Nothobranchius furzeri: one gene and its partner. The protein of the gene in region 1 purifies or fractionates together with the protein of each later gene. This does not show direct contact. Links are inferred from orthologs where the notes say so. Each region holds a gene or a part of one and is shown in the gene's direction. Other genes may lie near its edges.

Region 1 (3,521 bases):
TCAATGAGGGTGTGTGTTTGGCTGGGGCTGCAGGGCGAGGGGGTGCCGGCTGTCCACTTCTCAGGAGACGGCAGATTTGTTGAAACTGACCTTGATTAATGTCGGAGGAATTCCTCAAGCATAAACAATCTCACGCCTGCCCACATTCATTCCCAGATGTAAATGCGCAGACAGTGGGTGACATTGACCAGTATCAGCACAAAGTCGGGCTTCATGCGTCCTTGTTTCCTTGAGAGCAAACCGGTGACCGAGGAAATCTGTAGATGGCATCCAAACGATGACGAGCACCGTCTGCATCCCTGTTTTTTATTCAAAAATGCATTTCCTCAACTGGAACCTGCAGGATGACGATGTAGAATAAAAAAATCTGAATTTTTGTATAATTTTTGAAATAATGAACCTTCTTGTCAATATTTCTTTATTCAGCAGCAACTCTGACCTTTATTGTGTCCTTGGGGCATTTTGATTGTTGCGGATTAAGTTCCTCTGACTGTTTATATGGTTCACTAATTAGCTTTTTTTTATTATTATCAATTGAAGTCATAAACTCAAACAAATGACAGAGTAGTTAATCCATATCAACCAGTAAATGTGTTAAAGTTAAGTTTTAAAAATGTAGTTTTTATGTAATTAAAGGTGCTGAGCACTCTTAATCAGTGGTCTCCAGTAGGATGCACCAGAATCAGTAAGTATAATTCAGCAGGAGGAGAAAATGGCTTCAGGCGGCAGGTTGTGGGGTCTTCGCCTCCTATTGGATAACAGCAACACGACTGTACCACTGACTCAGTTTGCTCTGCAACGTGGCTGTTTTATCTCCTCAAATAACACAGTCCTGGAGGAGTTCTGCTGTGTGGTCAAGATGCTAATGCTAACTGTTAGCTTCTACTGGCTGGGATGTTTCCTGGATGCTAAAACAACAGTCTTCCCAGTCAAGATGGGTGAGTCCATGAATATTAAGGGACAGTGTGACGTAGATCTATCAGGCGTTTCACCATCTATTTACTATCTGAGGCTAATACAGGAGATAGGTGTAGGAGACTATTTTCATGTTCAGCCTGTATAAAAAACTCACAGTGACTCCTTAATTATAATCGGATAAAAAATATTTTTCAGGGATCCACACCTGCCAGAAAACAAGTAACAAATAATATTTATTATCTTAGTTTTTTTAACGAGATCCAATAAAGTTTGTGTGAATTAGCAGTTGTTTTAGGTTCAGTCAGTAAATCTTTATATTTGTAAAAGTTTTTAAAATTCTGGTATTTTATTCCCACTTTATTTGGTCAAATCAGCCTAAAGCTGGCTAAATGTGACAGATATTCAGATTAGTCCTCCTGGTTTATTTTTAGATTTCCATAAAAAATATTTGGATCATTTCTTATTTAGCGTCTGGGCTAATTTCTGATCTGATCAAAAATCAAACAAAACAAACGCTCTGTTTCATTTTGAGTGATAATAACACTTTTATTACCCAATAAACCTGCTTCTGAGCTCATCTCTGGCCTGTTCTTTCTCCTCGTCGGGCTGCAGGAGCTTTGACCGTGCCACAGAGGAGTGGGGGCGGTTCCACTGCGCCCTGAGGGACATTTCTCAGTGGCTCACAGAGACGGAGACACTTCTGTCTGAAAGCGTCGGCCCAGACGGTGACCTGGACCTGGACTCTGCTCGGCAGAGCCAAGAGGTTGGTGATGCTCAGTGATCTGTGTGATTAATGGATGCTCTTCAGGAAACAGAACAAGTTTTTGTTTTTCAACGATGTGCTGGCTCCTCAGCTCTAAAAGCAAGACATCAGCGTGTGTTTATGTAATTAGCATCCAGAGTGCAGAAATTTTAGATTTGAGACAAAAGCTGTGAGATAATTAGTTACGTCAGACAAAAGGTGATTGCTTTTATTCCCCAAATGGACACGATACGTTTTAGGCATTAAATTGGTTCGTTGTTCGAGCAGAAATGAGAAGTGAAGAAAAAGACACGGAGGGGCCTTTAACTTTCATTTCCCAGGGGGATTAAATCCTCCAACTCGGCGGCGTTATCGCTGACAACGCCACCGCCTTTAACACCGTTATCGTTTTGATTTGCAAAGCTGGAGCCACTCTCCTGCCTGATTTTTCAGGTGTTTTCTCAGCAGCTGAGAACGAAACGAGGGATCAAGTGGAAGGGAACTGAAAGATCTATTAGCTGACTCATCCTTCTGCCACCTGTACACTCACTCACCTTTACGGCTTTGTCTCGCCACGTTAAATCTCCAGCAGAGGAACGTAGAGATTTAGCAGCTTAAATATGGAATCGCAGCAAATCACGCCGTTTAGTGATTCAACGTTAATGCTTGAGTGTGTGATTAGTCTGTTTGACTGAACCCTAATTTCACCGTTTTCATTTGTGTCTTTTAATTGTGTCTCAGGAGCTGGAGGACGGCCTCGCCAGTCACCAGCCCATCCTCGCTGGACTGACTCGCTCTGGGGAGCAGATCGTTGGGAAGCTTTCATCTCCAGATGGGCCCCTGCTGGAGGAGAAGCTGGAGATTCTGGGTCGGCGTTGGAGAGCCGTTAACCGCCAAGTTCTGGACAGACAGCGCAGGTATCCGCACGGAGGAGTTCTGCCATCACCGGCTGTTTATCCGTCCAGTCGATTAGTCTGTAGCAGCAATTTAAATGGAAATTTTAGGAATAGTCCTGTAACCTCGAGGAAATGTAGGTCCTATTTTGTGTGTGTGTGTTTGTGTGTGTGTAGGTTAGCTGGAGACGATCCAGCTCTGTCTGACCTGGTGAAGAGGAGTGAGGAGCTAGCTGTGTGGCTGGAACAGGCAGAAAACGCTGTTTGCTTCCTGCCTGTTTCCACTACTGACAAAAACCTTAAAGATCTCAAGGTACAACCAAACTAAGAAGCACGGTTTCGTTTTATCCACCCACCATCCTCGTGGTGCTTGGACTCCTGGTTCTTGGTGAATTGAAGGATTTGTAACTTTTCCTTGCAGACTCTCGCTGAGGAAATGGACACTCAGAACGAACGCCTTGGTTGGCTGAACAAACACGCTCCCCACATCTTAGCTAGTCCCAGTTTGAGTCCTCAGGACAGAGACATGAATGTTGGGAAGCTGAGAGCCATCAACCTCAAGTGGAGCAAGGTGAAGCAAAGTTACACTTCCAACTTCTAAATGAGCTTTTTATTACTTCTAAGATGCTTAGACCTTCTGTCGCTACAAGCACCAGATTTTCTACTCTTGTTATATTTTCCTCCTTTTCCTGATGTCTTAAATACTTCCTCTCATTTTCCTTTGATCTTCCTCTTTGCAGGTGACTCACGAGCTACTGGACAAGGTGGGGGAGGTGGAGGCCAACCTGCAGAGTCACACGGTGTTCCAGGAGGGGATGAACAAGCTGACGGATTGGGTCGTCATCACGAACCAGACCATCGCGACCCGAGGCCTGAATCCTGGCCAAGCTCAGGTAAGACAACTTGAATTCATTATAAGAACTAAAGTGCTCGAAAATCCATACATAATTTACTCAGATGCATCAAAT
Region 2 (3,521 bases), on another chromosome or scaffold:
ACTTTTACGTTCATCAGGCAAAATACAAACGAGTTCAGTTCACGTTCACAAAAAAAAAAGAACAAATTCATGAACGATCGTTCAATGAACGCATTCAGGCAGAACACTGCTGGTGGTGATGAGCTACGATGTAGCCACAGCTGCCCTGGGGGGTGCTGACAGAGGCGGGTCTGCCGTACATTGGTGCCACCGGTCCCTCCGACCACCACCAGCAGGCAAGGCGGATTAAGTGTTTTGCCCAAGGTCACAACAGCAGCCTTCTCTCATCAGCATTAGAAAAGACCAATAGCAGTGGAACTCTATTCAGAATATTATTTACATGTTGAATTCTCATTGTTTTTACTGCTGGTGAAACAAAAAATCTGTTTCTCTCTTTGTCTCCAGTGAAATACATGCGTGAGGCTACACCTTACGTCAGAAAGGGCTCTCCCGTGTCAGAGATCAGCTGGGAGACTCCTCCTCCTGAGTCTCCCCGTCCCAGCAGCCCTACCATCACCTCCCCCTTCTCATCCGACTCTCCCAGCTCTCCTACCCTTCCCTCCCTGTCACTGAACAGTGACAGGAGGTACATACCGTTGAAGATGTGTTATGCAACACGAGCCATGACCAAACCTGATCCGGAGAACAGGTAGGTGGAAACTCACAATGTTAAACACACGAGCCACACTCCTGGATGTGACATCCCTCAGGATTTTCATCCTCCTGTTAATAAAGATGATGTTGAATCAGTTTAGCCTTTAAAACGATGAAACGGGCTGGTGAGATTCAGAGGAAGCACAGGAAACTTGTGTTTTAAATCTAGAAATGTGAAATGTGTAGGTCAAATCATGCTGGATGTCCTGATTAACCCAACATGAATAAGATTAATACTTTAGATGTGTGTTTGGGTTCTGAACATAGGTCAGGTCAATGGGCCAATCTAACACTAACCCATCGCCGTTCAGTTTTCATAAAAGCACTTTTCTTTACTCGTCAGTCTTGTGACTATGAATCCTGTTATTCTAATGAAGTATGCCAATCAAGGATACAACCATAACTGTAGACACATTAAATTATTTAGTCAAACCACTCAGAAATAAAAACAATGACTAACTCACCTTGCATCATTGACAGAATAGAGCCAATTCAAACAAAGCCTTTCTTTTTACAAGAGTCCAATGAAAATAGTTAGTCCACAACATGTCCTACATCAACAAACATTCAAAATGAACTTCAAATGCCTCTCTTTTACCCATAATCTCAATTAGCATCGTCATATTTGCATCAGATTTTGGGGCTACATCAGTGGTTCCCAATCTGGGATCTGTGGACCCCCAAGGAGATCCCCACAACATTCCAAAAGCTCCCAACATTTAGTCTGTACTAAGGTTGTGAGGTTACCAATATGATATTTGTAAAAAAAATAATAATAATATAGCATTAATATAATATCAGCAGCATTTCTAATTAGGGATGCAACAACACTGGTATCGGTATTGGGCCGATACCAGTGTCGGTATCTGTAAAAGTTAACCGACACCGATGCAGTTGCCTGAAAGTGGCTTTGCTGAAACTTGTCATTTCTGTCACAACTTCTATTAATATATTTTATTTTTTATCTACCTCACAGTCTTTTCCTGTTGAAAGCAGAGAAGAAAATAAAACCTGTATTCCAATTCATTGCATTTTTTTTTGTGTTAAAAGTATCAGTATAGGTTTTGGTGAGTACTCAGATCCAAGTATCGGTATCGTATCGGTTTAGGGAGAAAAAAAAGTGGTATTGATGCATCCCTACTTCTAATAGTATAATCACAAGTCAGAGTCAAAACTCTGCATATCAGCATAAAGCGTGCAACTAAGCATTTTTAATGTGTGTATGTAGGTAGGCGTTGGGGGTCCTGGCTTGTCTTGGACACAGGTAAGGGGGTTCTTGTGGGAAAAGGTTGGAAACAACTGATCTACATAATTCACATATACAGTACCTGATCTAACAGTGGAAGTGTCACACCCTCTGCTGAGGCAAAAGCCTCAACCATTGGCCGATAGGCAGCAAATACTGCCCCCCATTCTCGCGTGGAGCTCAAACCAATCATCGCCCAGTACATGGTTGATTGATGCATCAAATAGTCAATAAAATTTCTAAAACAACGATGTCAAGCATGAGTGAAATTATCAGAAAACATCTTGATGAATGCTCGGAAGGATTTTAGATACAAACCAACTTTAGTCTTGACCCAAACCACAAGACGATGGACGCTCTGCAGCCCTTTAGTGACTGATTCTCTACAGCTCAAACCCAGAAAGGACTCTGAACTCCACTCGTGGCTTTTACATAATCTCCTGCTTTCAGTCAGAATTATTCATTCATTTCTTTTGACTAAAATCACCTAACAGCGTTTTCTTTTTCAACCTTTGAAATTGTATAACCAACAACGTTTCAAAATTGTTGGGGATTCAGTTTGTTGAAGGCAATCCAACAGATTCCTACTGTTCCACGGAACAGAGATCTGCTGAAAACTGTTGCAATAAAACTGTAATGTCCCATGATGCATTTTAATGTTAGGGGATGTTTTAGCTCTGAAGTGAATCTTTTTACTTTCCTTCATACCAAAAAGGTGAAAATGCAATAAACCCCTTGTGTGGGTTTAAGTCAGAGTGGGATGATTTTATCATGGGAATCTAATCAGAACGGATAGTCTTTGCTCTTGTTTGTCACTCCTCCTCTGCTCTTTAATATCTGCCCCCAGGTCTACAATTTCCATCTGTCTTAAAGTGTATTCGCTCAGTCTTTCTAAACCCATTTTTCCTTTTGGAAAGGCATTAGAAGTAGCGCTCAGACAGTTCTCAGTGGGGGTGGAGTGTTAGGAGGTGTCATTAAGCTAATGGTTTGGTAATTTGACTGGCTCGGTCAAACAGCGTGGGGTTACACATGAGTGATTTACTACCACTTCTTCCTCTTTCACTCGGTCCGTGTTCTCCAGTTCAGTTTGTTTCTTTTCTGTGTGTGAGACTTTCTCCTAGTTAGTTTCATTTTCAATCTTTAGTTTTTATTTAGCTACTGTTCCCTCCCATCATCGGCTCTCCTGGGGAAAATGAGATATTCTGTCCTTTGGCCACTTTCCATTTCTTTTCTTTTTCCTACCACAACTGGTTTATTTGAGACTCCTACTATTTTCACATCAGTGCTGAATCTCTGAAATGAAAAAGGGAGACAAGAGGACAGGGCTGTAACAAAGACAGGACACAGGTGGGAAAAACCAGCATAATTATGGAAGTGAACCAGTCTGGGAAGTAAAACGAGACAAAAAACCTAATAGGAATCATCTCACTCTGTCATTACTCTGTTTTCACTTGATCACATCCTGTTACAGGAGAAAATCTCCCACTGCGAAGGGCGAAGTGAGCCGCCATCACGCGGAAAGTCGCTGTTGTTCATCGATGTGGGAAAGAAAACAAAATGCACAGCTGCTTTCAGCAAAATTTAAAATTCAAGATTAGAGTTTGGGACCTCATAATTATCGGAAACAGCCTTGTTTTTCATA

Evidence for each region. The genes of interacting proteins can lie anywhere in the genome.
Region 2: the proteins of utrn (region 1) and sntb1 purify together in Homo sapiens (affinity purification with mass spectrometry; 3 studies listed by BioGRID and IntAct, with this or other methods). This does not show direct contact. The link is inferred for Nothobranchius furzeri from reciprocal best matches to the Homo sapiens genes UTRN and SNTB1.

What each region holds. Positions count from the first base shown.
Region 1 is NC_091742.1:4,149,564-4,153,084, reverse strand, and holds part of utrn (utrophin), read left to right. Parts: intron 1-1,530; coding exon 1,531-1,681; intron 1,682-2,401; coding exon 2,402-2,577; intron 2,578-2,730; coding exon 2,731-2,866; intron 2,867-2,974; coding exon 2,975-3,124; intron 3,125-3,293; coding exon 3,294-3,446; intron 3,447-3,521.
Region 2 is NC_091745.1:41,759,590-41,763,110, reverse strand, and holds part of sntb1 (beta-1-syntrophin), read left to right. Parts: intron 1-384; coding exon 385-628; intron 629-3,521. UniProt on the Homo sapiens protein: Adapter protein that binds to and probably organizes the subcellular localization of a variety of membrane proteins. May link various receptors to the actin cytoskeleton and the dystrophin glycoprotein complex.